Linked DNA regions of Caenorhabditis elegans. The protein of the gene in region 2 interacts with the protein of the main gene of each other region in a pairwise test. Each region holds a gene or a part of one and is shown on either strand. Other genes may lie near its edges.

Evidence for each region.
Region 1: the proteins of skr-7 (region 2) and gipc-1 interact in a two-hybrid assay, tested with the Caenorhabditis elegans proteins (one large-scale study listed by BioGRID).
Region 3: the proteins of skr-7 (region 2) and F55C9.11 interact in a two-hybrid assay, tested with the Caenorhabditis elegans proteins (one large-scale study listed by BioGRID).

Annotation. Positions count from the first base shown.
Region 1 is NC_003281.10:4,869,150-4,872,797, forward strand, and holds gipc-1 (PDZ domain-containing protein), read left to right. Parts: upstream 1-1,628; 5' UTR 1,629-1,690; coding exon 1,691-1,725; intron 1,726-1,779; coding exon 1,780-2,077; intron 2,078-2,124; coding exon 2,125-2,865; 3' UTR 2,866-3,112; downstream 3,113-3,648. Other genes in the region: C35D10.3 (uncharacterized protein), read left to right, coding at 128-263, 457-749, 794-947; C35D10.12 (Methyltransferase type 11 domain-containing protein), read right to left, coding at 3,418-3,573.
Region 2 is NC_003283.11:4,420,677-4,423,582, reverse strand, and holds skr-7 (Skp1-related protein), read right to left. Parts: upstream 1,157-2,906; coding exon 572-1,156; downstream 1-571. Other genes in the region: skr-14 (Skp1-related protein), read left to right, coding at 2,008-2,514; Y47D7A.2 (Extensin-like), read right to left, coding at 2,895-2,906.
Region 3 is NC_003283.11:19,306,056-19,311,722, forward strand, and holds F55C9.11 (F-box domain-containing protein), read right to left. Parts: upstream 3,637-5,667; 5' UTR 3,633-3,636; coding exon of another isoform or gene 3,547-3,632; 5' UTR 3,543-3,546; intron 3,502-3,542; coding exon of another isoform or gene 3,408-3,501; 5' UTR 3,314-3,407; coding exon of another isoform or gene 2,652-3,313; 5' UTR 1,529-2,651; coding exon 1,443-1,528; intron 1,399-1,442; coding exon 1,311-1,398; 3' UTR 1,275-1,310; intron 1,229-1,274; 3' UTR 952-1,228; coding exon of another isoform or gene 586-951; 3' UTR 539-585; downstream 1-538. Other genes in the region: F55C9.15 (F-box associated domain-containing protein), read right to left, coding at 586-951; C43D7.8 (F-box domain-containing protein), read right to left, coding at 4,599-4,716, 4,763-4,882, 4,927-5,003.

The DNA.
Region 1 (3,648 bases), on a different chromosome or scaffold from region 2:
AGGCATGTGTGCCTTGAGACAAAGCTGTTGCTTTCTTCTCAGGATTTGTTCCATATTCTTAAGAATTAGAAGCTTTTGTGAGAAAATTTAAAGAGTGTAAACTTCTATCAAACTTCTCTTTTTTCAGTTACGCAATATGCAGCCCAAACTTATGGATGATTGTTGCTTGTACATGCATGACACTCCTTACAATGCTTATGACGTTATATATGAATTGCGGGTTTCGAAGGAATGTACGATGGCTGAAGTTCACTGAGTGGAAGGTTTGTGTTCATTAGATCAGATTGTTAGTGCAGGTTCAACGTATCTTCCTTTTCGGGCCCTGCCTAAATATTTCATCCGACCGAGGCGTAATGATCATTGATGATCACGTAATCGCCATCCTCTTGCAATAGGCGCCTTCCGGTCGAGAGGGGTGAGCGTGAATTGTGAAGCTCACTTCTATTCATATTTCAGCTCCAGCAACTCGCCGAACGTCTCCGCATTCAAGAGCCAAATGTAGGTCTTCTTATGCAAGTAACCAGAAAAGTGAATGATAAGAAGAACAGTGATAAGAAAGAATTCGACTTTTTCAACAATCGAGATCAAAATAACAATATCGCAGGAGCATTGAATGAAGTGGCAAGTAAGACAAGTAATGGCTCAATGGGATCAACGGATGTAGTTGCTGCTCAAATCAGAAAGGCGAGAGATGAAGACGTAGAGAAAGTGTTGCGGGAGAGTAATATGGATATTCTTACTCCTGATGTGTATGTTTTAAGTTTGAATTTTCTGAAAATGATTATATTTTCAGCCAACCCACTCAACCAAGCACTGGAGGATCTCAGAAAATTCTGAAAAAGTGGACAGGAGCAACAATAGATCTCTTCTCGAAAGATGAGGATGAGAATGAAGGGAAAGGAAAAAAGGAAAGAAAAAATAAAATTGATCGAACTCAAGAGGATTGATTTTTAATAAAGATTTTTCATTAAAAAATTCCCATTGGGTTTCAATATAAGAATTTCCTGCACCATAGTTATGGCCCAGGAGCCAGCCAGAAGTATAGTCACAAAGCGTATTATCAGGTCTATCAGTATTCATAGAGAGTATTCATACTTCTGGTTTTTTTTGTCGCTACTTGGGCTGATATTTCAGTTTCACAAGATACATTCCCAACCATCACTATTCAAAAGTCGACGGGGCTCCTGCTCGGAAAAGTTTGACAAAAGAAACCCAGGATAAAAAGAACTGCTTCAAATAAATGATTTCAAATAGTTAAAATCACAAAAAACTAGATATCAATTTTAAATCGCTCGGCTCCTCCGATGAGCACATAATCCTTTTTGAGCTCATGAAGAGTCCGCAGCCAATATTTTTAGGGCAAGTCTTACGGGTACGGTAGTTGAACAATTAACTCGTGTTAAGATCTGGAAATTGCCTCGATATTGAGCAAAAATCGAGAGAATTGTTTGCGATTTACTTTAGTTATACGTGTTACAGTTTTAAAACAAAATGAAGAAAAACACGAAAATTAATAAAATTCGAAAGTTATATTTTTAATGAACTTCCTCAGCGTGGCACTCTAATTTGGTTGGCATCTAAGCTCCGCCCACATCAATGCCTATAAAAGATCAGTTTCTTGATAAAATGATTCATTCATCGATTTAACACCAACTCACTTCAACTAGTACAACTACTAACATTCTCCACAATGCAAGGACAAGGATCACCATTCTGCCGTTCTAGGTATGTATTACATGAGCCCGAGTCTTATGTCTCAAGTTACCATGAATATTTTAGAACCCGCTCGAGATCTCGTGGAGCTTTCAATCGTAGCTCCAACCACGGTTCAGTGCTTCCAATTCAGCCTGCCGTATTGGATTCAATTGCCGAGGAATCATCGTCTACTATCATGACAGTAGTCAATCCTTTGATGGTGGCAGCAAGACAGCTCAAATTTGCTTGCCAGATGGCTCATGGAAGTCCAGTTGGAATCATCGACAAATGGAACAATATGGAGGAATTGTATCAATCAATTGCCGATTGCTTTACAATTTCAAAAGATGATATCATTTTCCTGACAGTCAATGATTTTAAGGTTAGTTTTGACATAAATAAGTCAAATTCTTATTCTAAATATTTCAGCCAGACATGAAGAACATGTTCACTGGAACACTGAACTTCAAGGATATGCTCTTCGCCCACATTCGCGGACAAGCAACCGAGCTCCGAGTCGTCAAAGATGCTAAAAACTTTGGAGTGACAATCACGGACAACGGACTCGGGAATGCATTTATCAAGGTCATAAGCCCAGATTCGGTGTTTGATCGTATGCGTCCAGCCACTCAAGTTGGTCAACTCATTGAGGCGGTCAATGGAGAATGTGTGCTCGGGAAAAGGCATTACCAAGTTGCCCGAATTTTGAAAAATGTTCGTCGCGGCGAGGAATGCGTGGTTCGATTGATTGCTCCAAAGACTGCTGATCCAGGAACCATGAAGACGACTGGAAAAACTGGCGGAGGTCTGGCAAAAGGAACCATTCGTTTCAAATCGGAAGGCGGATTTGCTGTTGAGGATGTTCAAGATCAGATGATCCAAGCTGAGATGTGCGGAAAGCTCAATGAGATATTCGACCAATACTTGGGAGTTCAAGATGATCAGCTGGCCATGAGAATCTGGGAAACTGCTTCAAACTGCGAGACGCTTTTGCAACTCAGTGAAGCCATCAAAGAGTCGGAGCTCTCAATGTTCGATTTCCCGGATGGAATGGTTTTCGATATGTGGGGAATCATCGGTGATTTGAAGCGGGAGCAACGTGAGAAGAAGCCATCCCCAGTCATGAAGAATGCGATTTCAAGACCATCGGCTATGAAACTCTTTGAGTAACTTTTACTGTGGAATAAATTATTTTAATCTCCGAACTGTCTTAAATTGGTTTAAAGTATATCCCACTAACTTTTCAAATTTATTCGATTCACAAGACTTGAAAAACACTCTTTCCGCTGCTTAGTTCGATTGTTTCATTCAGCACATCTTATTCTCCAACAGGCATCCGCATTTCATAAGCCTCTAGAAAATCATAGCATTCATCGATTCCCAGTTTAAATGCTGTTTAAATGAAGCTTCAAATTTATTTTATTTTTCTTTTGTCAAAATGTTTATTTTAAAACAGCGTTTTGTCAAAAGTATGTATTCAATTTTATGCTTTCCCATTGGTTTCTCATTGGAGCTCTCGAGCTCCAAATGTCCGTTACACCATGTCCACCTGCAACCTAGTTAGAAGCGAAAGATAAAATCTGCATAAACTTCAAACGTTTTGTATTAATTTGTAAGATTTTAACGCTTATTTACATAAATACAGTTTATTTTTTTCGAGATCATAAGATTTAGTTCTCAAACGAACTTTGGATATGTGCAATACGAGATGATTCCTAATGTTCATGGTCGAATGACATTTGCCGCCACTTTTTCAGCAATTACACACCAATTGCCATGTTCAAAAGTTGCTGAGACGACTTTTAGACTCTCCACGGAATCTACTAAATCGGCAAGTTCACCGTCTTTGAAAACATGATAGAAGCGGTAGAATGTGACCTGAAAATGGAAAATTATTAGCTGAAAATCTCTTAATTTAATTGTAAGTAAAATCGCAGCTTGGTAATCCTCGTT
Region 2 (2,906 bases):
AAAGTTTTCCCGATAAGCCATTCAATAAATCATTTTTTCGAAAATTTTTTGATTTGGGAAGCTTCTTCGCAAATTTTATTACAGCAAATTTGCTGCACATCCAAAAATTCTGATCCAAAAAATAACTAAATAACACCACAATTTCCCGGCCGACTACGGAAAAATATTTAAATTAGGAGCGGACTAGGGCTTCTATATAGGCGTTTAACACCTGCCTGTCTGACCTTAATGCGACCTCCGCCCGCCTCTCGCCTCAATCCGCGCCTATGCGAAAGGCCGGCATAAGGCGGGCAGGTTTCGGGCAGGCGTCAGGCCCTGAAACCGCCCCTGCCTACCATGGAAGCCAGCACCTTCCTGTGAACTATGATTAAAAATTTTCGAGAAATTTTCAAAACGTCTTGTTCTATAAATTTGTATTTTGGAACCACCTTGAGCCTCGAGCCTCACACAATAATTTATCATTTTAGGACAACACTTTTTTCTGTACGTACAATTCTTTTGATTAAAAACGTTTAATGACAGCGAAATGAATTTATTTGATCAAAAACTCGGAAAATTTAGAACGTGGGAGTTACTTGGAAGTTGATGGTTCAGCTGCGTCCTTCTCTGTGATTGCCTTTTTCTCAGCTTCAGCCTTCTCCTTTGCAGCCTTCTCGGCAGCTTCATCCTCCTCATCAGTTGGAATTGCAAAGAGAACTCTCATCTCATCAGGGGACTTTCCGATAGCCATGTTGGCGACCATCTTGCATGCATAGCTCATCAATCCAGGCACATCAAGGAAGTTGGAGGCAACAATCAAGTCGAAGAGCACGTCGTTGTCGATTTTCAAGAAGTTGGTATCCCATTCTGGAACAGTGATGTTCTTGGGAACACTGTCATCTTCAACTGGAAGTGTTTCTCCTTTGTGTTTCTCACACCACTCAATGACCATCTTCATGATGTTTCCGGTGACATTGGTAATTGGAATTGGATCCATTGAAGCAACATCATTGGCAACACATGTAGAAATCAGATTGGAGAGGGTGTTCGACTGCTTTACTGCTTCATCACTGATTTCATAGACTTGTCCATCACTTGATTCGACCTTGTACATGATTGGGGCGACAATTGGAGCCTCGTTGGCTTGAACTTCGACGGCGGCGGCTTCAGCAGACATTTTTGAAAGTTAGGGTGATTTCTGGAAAGATATAAATCAATATAGATATGCTGAAGAGTGCAGATGAAGTTTAAGAGAGTAAAATTGCGGAATGATAGAATGAAAAATGGGAAACTACCGAGAAAGAATTGAATTTTGGTTCACATATATTTTCAACATTCGTTCTTCACGAAAAATTGCATTTTTAGTAGAGTTATAACCATTTGAAAAATTTCAAAATTATCAAAACTGCTAAATAAAAGGAATATCTTTTTGACCAGGACTGTAGAAAACGAGGAAAAAACATAAGAAAAAAGAAAAGTAAGAGAAAATAAATTGCGACTGCTCGCGATGAGAGCCAAACGACAGAATGACCATCGAACAGACTGTTTTCGCTAAACGACGAGAACGCTGCAAATGTAACCCATCGGACGCGCGGTAAGTCAGTTATTGATTGGAAAATGTACATACACACTACTATATTTGCAGCTGTTCTTCGTCTTTAGCTCGGCTGAGGGGACTCTATAACACATTGTGCAACTTATCGATTCATTTTCAACGGCGCGTCTGACAGAACGGTGTGCATTGTCTGTACTCACCCATTCATTATGCAATTTTCCTTGTCTTGGATCTGGTGTTTTCTATCTGCTTTTCCTGTTTCTATCCTTTTTTGCCTGCCTTACAACCTTATTACACTCTTGTTGTAGGTGACGTCAAAATTTTTTTTTACTCCGATAATCTTCCAAAATCTCATTTAATTTTAGTTTAAATCTAGTCAGTTAGGTTTGCCATCGATACCTTTACCTATTTTCTATTTTCCAGTCATCTCGCAATCTAAGAATTCAATTTTCAGAATCGACATACTCATCACCATGTCTGCTCCAGTTTCCGATGCTCCAGCCGCCCAAATCTTTTACAAGATCATTTCAAACGATGGAGTCGTGACAAAAATGAGCGAGAAAGCCGTCCAACAATCGAAGACTCTCAGCAATCTCATTGAGAATCTCGGTTATACCATTGAAAACATTGAGACCCGTGATCCAATTCCAGTTACTAATGTGAATGGAAAGACTATGGAGAAGGTCGCTGAATGGTGTGAGAAGCACAACGCCGATGCAATTCCAGAGGACAATATGAATGTTCTCAAGACCCTCACCATTCCAGAATGGGATCAAAAGTTCTTGAAAATTGAGGATGAAGCTCTGTTCGATTTGATTCTGGCGTCAAACTTCCTTGACATCAAGGGTCTTATGTACTATGGTTGTAAGACTGTATCCAACATGGCAAAGGGCAAAACGACAGCTGAACTCAGAGAGATTTTCGGAATCAATACGGACGAACAGGATGCTGCTGAGGGAGGTGCCGTAGAAGTTGCTTAATTTTCTGATGTTTTAATGACTTTTTTCTTTTCTTTTCATGTTCCACTTTGATTGAAAATAAAATTTATGTTCAAAATTTTGAAAAAAGAACACCATACTTGTAATCAAACATCGATTATTTTTCTTATTGAAAATTGGTCTTGGATGCAAAAACATCGGGTGATTTTGTTAAACTTTTGGAAATGCTCCACACCATTCAATGCAAGTTTTGGAGAATGTTGAAAGCATTCACCATGAGTTCAATTTTAAAAATCTGTTACTGCTTCACACATAACATTTCTAAGTTGATGTTGAGTTGAGAAAAATGAGTTGAATTATGAAATGTTTATTTGTTCAAGTTTTAAAAAATCACAGTGCAATTTGCACTAAAACTACTAAATCTATTGCTTCTT
Region 3 (5,667 bases), about 15 Mb from region 2:
TTAGCAAAATATTAGCAAATTATTACGTCTGACTCTTGATACAGATTGAGCATAGCGAATGGCCACATCGCATCATATAGGCACGTCGGGTGTTACACATTGTCTCAGCACAGATTGAACAGGCTTAAAATTTGTTCAGCTTGATAGACAATGCAACTGCTCTTCTTTTTCGGCAATTGTAGTGGCAACCTTTTGCTCCAAAAGTTTGATGGTAGACTACAATTGGACGATAACACGTAACAATACAGTGGTATTGTTCATGTTGACGATGTCTAGATGAAAATTAAACACCTTTAAATACCCCCGAGTCTGTATCCAGTTTGCGGATTCGCCATACTCAGATTTTGCCATACTCACCACTGACAATTGATTGTGAAACAAAATAAAACAGGGTCTTACAAAATAAGAAAGGAACAAAGGGGCCAAGTGCCAGAAGCTTCAAGTTGAATCAAAAAACTGAACTTTCAGCAATATGTTTGACCGAACTTTTTTAGATGCACCATAACCAATTGTTTAATGATAAATAAAATTGGCCAGCAAATTCATTCATTGGTAAAATAACATAATTAAAGTCGAAATTACAATTTATTTCAAAACGTGCATTCTCAAAAACATATGACCAATTAAAACAATTGCTCGTCTTCCATCACATCTATAGATATTTCTTGCGCTGTGAGCTCCTGTCAAAAATATCCGTGGAAGATTGTCTAAGTCGTCTGCACATGTATCCTTGTGCATTATACCCTTTAAAATTTCATCCACACGGTTTCTGTGTATCATAACAAAAGCAGATTCGAGTGCATAAAATCCTCCGTTTATCCAATGTGTTAAGAATATATTTGCTTGCTTCGAACACAGGTTTCTGAACGCTGTCAAGTGTGCACAGTTTACACTCAGAAGATCAGTGAGCCCGGCGGCAACAATCAATCTCTGGCAGTGTGAGCTCAACATTGAGCGGTATCCTTTGAAATCTGGTCAAGTGATCTCAAGGTAGCCAGTGGAAACCTTATAGACAAGCCTGTGAAGCCAAACATTTTGAGAGTCACACTGTAGGGTAGTTCTAGGGATTTCCAAGCCGTCAAGAGCTTCATAAATTGGTTTCCAATCGTGATCATCACTGCGCACAATGAAATACTCAAATTTATCCGTATGTAGTACACTTTGGAAATGATCCAGAAATGTTTTCAGGTCAACTTCCAGAGGGTTCCAACCAATATCAAATCTTCTACTGCAATAAATAATATGCCATTTTGGTATAATGTGGTTTAACTTACTTTGTCTTGCCATTAACAACTATATAAACACATTTGTTAATATAAATCACAAAAGGGATCAGCCTGAAGATTCAACGATTCTGCTGCCCGTTTTGTAGATTTTGAAATGAGAGAGAATTTTATTCTGAAATAGAACAATTTTTGATTGGACAATAAAGGAGCTCTTACAATTCTTCCAAAGTCAGACTTTGAATCGCTATTTTGAGAGATTTCTCAGGTAGTTGGAGAATCGGGAAAGAGGCGATGGTAGTCATCAAAATAGGAAAGAAATAATAATGAATGGTGCAAGACCGAATGCACAGTAGGGAGGAATTACCGATTTTCTACGTGCCAAGCGGGAAGTGACCTCACAGCTGTCGATTTTTCGAATGATAGACGTCGCTGTCTGCACAGTGAGCGATGTGAGCACTTCAAGACGCTAGACTTTCTTCAAGACGCTCCCCAAGGACGAAGGGCCCGTTCGACTATCACCAGACAAAAATGGAAACTAGAGGATTCGATCATATATTCAATCGAAACAATTTGTTGTGCATTCTTGCCCAGATTCATTCATTACTACACCTATCCTGCTGCTGGGAACACTGCTGCTGCCTTTTTCCAATTCTTTAAAAAATTCCTAACGAGGATCTCATGGGAGCCCTAGCTGCTGCAGTGTTTTGGCGACTACGGTACGCTGTTACGCAAACCGCGCAATGACAACATTCACATTTGTTTGGCAAACGAATTTTTCCACAATATTTTTACAAAATAAAATAGGAAGCAAGGGACCATAAAAAAACAAACAATTAATCTAGTCACACTCACCAAAAACCGTGTCCGAAACGGTCCGTTTACTGACCGGGTAGGGCTCATATTTAAGATTTAAGTGTAGGCCTTCTACGAAGGTGAGGCGCAAAAAGGGCACACGACGCCAGCCCCACTCCCGCAAACCCGCGCTTGCGCATTATCACACTCTGTGTACTGCGGCCGACGCTACGCGGGACCTCGCGCCACTATAGCTGTGTGCAACAGAAAAGGGCGGCGGGAGTGTGGGGCATGTTGTGGGGCGTTGGGTGGGTGAGAGTAGCGCTCTCCTGAAAGGTCTTGTCAGGAGATCACCCATCAGCTTAGACCCTTTTTTATTTCTCTGGGCTCCTCCGAGCTCCGTTCTTGCTCCTGACCGTCTTCCGATGACCCTTAGCTGTAGCCATTCTATCTGCCTCAGCCTAGGGTCAAACCTACTGCCTCTCTGCTCAGAGCAATTTCGGTGAACTTGCCACAGAAAATTCTCCTGAACACCATTGATTTACAAATTTTGCATGTATATCATAATTAAAATTGGTCAGCAAATTCATTCATTGGAAAAGTCTCATAATTAAAATGAAAATTACAAATTATCTCGAGATCCAAACCTGCATTCTCGAAGATAAAGTATCAATGACAACAGTTGCCCGTCTTCCATCACATCTGTAGATATCTCTTGCGTAGTCAGCTCTTGGCAAAACCCACCGTGGAAGAATGTCTAAGTCCTCTGCACTTGCACTTGTATCCTTGTGCATTATACCCTTAAAAATTTCATCCACACGGTTTCTGTATACTATAACAAAAACAGATTCGAGTGCATAAAATCCTCCGTTTATCCAATGTTTTAGGAATATTCGCTTGCTTCGAACACAGATTTCTGCGCGCTGTCAAGTGTGCACAGTTTACACTTAGAAGATCTGTGAAATCAGCAAAAATAGTCAATTTCGGGCGGTATGAACTTAAAATCGGGCGGAACTGTTTGAAGTTCCTAAGGTTGATCTCAAGGGAGTGTCTGGAAAACTGATGGACAAGTTTGTGCAGCCAGACATTTTGAGAGTCACATTGTATATTGGTCTTCGGAATATCCAAGCCGTCAAGAGCTTCATAAATTAATTTCCAATCGTAATCATCACTGCGCACAACGAAAGACTCAAGTTTATCCGTATGGAGTACACTTTGGACATGATCCAGAAATGTTTTCAGGTCAACTTCCAGAGGGAACCAAGAAATTCGGTGATAGAAAGACGTTATACTGCAATAAAAAATCAGTGAACTTGTTAGAATGTGGTGCAATGTTAGAATGTTAGAATTAGTTATGGTTCAAGGTTAGAATGTGGTTCATAAACCCTTCCATCAATGTTAAGCCAAAAGGGGTTAGCCTGAAGATTCAACGATTCTGCTGTCCGTTTTGTAGATTTTGAAATGAGGGAGAACTTTATTCTGAAATAAAACAGTTTTTTGATTAGACAATAAAGGAGTTCTTACAATTCTTACAACTTCAGACTTCGAATCACTATTTTGAGAGATTTCTCAGGTAGTTGGAGAATCGGGAAAGAGGCGATGGTAGTCATCAAAGTAGGAGAGAATTAATAATGAATGGTGCAAGACCGAATGCACAGTAGGGAGGCATTATCGATTTTCTTCTACATGGCGAGCGGGAAGTGACCTCACAGCTGTCGTAATGGAAGAATACATGTAGACGTCACTGTGGACGCAGCGAGCGATTTTGTCTGACCGTTTTTTAAATATTTAATTGTAAGCATTCCAATTTCGATAAAATTACATCTGAAGTTGTTCCTAGTAGTCCCAGTGTTTCTCAAACGTACGCTTCTACAAACTTGTTTTTTTTTTCAAAGTCAAAATTCATGGGGCTTCCTGGGATGGTTTTTTTTAAGTGATCAAAAGCTTACATCTCGTGCTTGGCTTCAAATTTACTAACACACTGGAAATATACATGAAATCATTTATAACAGGAATCTTATCAGAAAAAAGATCAAGAACAAATTATTTCCAAACGTACATACTCAAACGAATGCCTTCAATGACGACAGTGGCCCGTGTTCCAACAAATCTGTAGATGTCTACAGCAAACTTGATATCCGGAAAACGCATCGGCAGTGTTTCCAAATCCGATACGCTTGTCACCTCCAGCTTCACACCCTTGAACACTTCATCCAAATTGTCGATATCAGCTCCAACAGGAAATACAACAGATTCAAGTGGCTGGAATGCTCCCTTGATCCAATGCTTTAGGAATAAATTCACTTCCATTGTACTCATAAGGGGCATCACTTTTAAGTGTACACAGTTTACACTTAGAAGATCAGTTAAACCAGCGACAACGGTCAAATTCTGGCGGTGTGAACTCAACATTGGGCGGTACCATTTGAAATTTGGCATAGTGATCTCAAGGGAGAGCCTGGAAAATTGATTGGCAAGCTGGTGGAGCCAAACATTTTGAGAATCACGTTGTAGACTGGTCTTAGGAATATCCAAGCCGTCAAGAGCTTCATAAATTAATTTCCAATCGTGATCATCACGTCAAACAAAGAAATACTCAAATTTATTTGTATGGAGAACACTCTGGAAATGATCTAGCAATGTTCTCAGATCAACTTCCACGGGGTTCCAAGGAATATCCTGTTGATAATTTTCTACACTGCAATAAATACTCTGTGAACTTGTTGCAATATGGTTTAACTCACAAATTGGCATGAACCGATATATGAACCGATTCACCAAAGCAAATCCAAAACGGGTCAGCCTGAAGATTCAACGATTCTGCTGTCCTTTTTGTAGATTCGGAGATCAGAGAAAACTTGATTCTAAAATATAACAGTTTGTCATTGGAAACTTCGGAAAATCTTACATTTGTTCCATAGTCAGACAGCGAATCGCAATCTTGAGAGACTTTTCAGGCAGCCTGAGAATTGGAAAAGTCGTCATCGTGGCAGGAAAGAAAGGTAATAATGAATGGGACTAGACGCATATGCGCACAGTAGCATATGATCGATTTTTTACATGACAGGAGACCTGTCCAGCTGTGGATATGTTAAAGGGTAGCAGATGGTACGATACTGTTGACGAACACTAGTCCGCAGGTATTTTATAGTAACAAGCTGTAAAAGTGAGTAAGTTTGTAGAAATCAAATTTAAATTTAAATACTATCGTCGCGAAATATTAAAATTGAAATTCTACAAGGGCGGGCAGGTTGGAGGCAGGCCCTGAACCCGAGCCTGCCTCCCATGGAAGCCCTACCCATAGCAAGCGCGCGCACTGTGCAGTGCATTTTTTTTCCACTTCTACGGCTTTAAAGGGAGGCGCTTTTATGCGGAATGGGTTTGACGTGCATTAAGTCATCATTTTCCGCAATTTCTGTGTCAAATTCGCGTAGAGCAAAATAAATTTGTTGATCACAATGAAAAGCCAGCAGACATACGAATACGAAATATGAGATAAATATTTTGTGATCTACTCGTGATCTACGCGAATTTTACACAGGAACTGCAAAAAATAAAAACTTAATGCGCGTCAAGACCATTCCGCAAAAAAGCGCCTCCCTTTAAAGTCGTAGAAGTGGAAAAAAACGCACTGTATGTTCACAAGTTC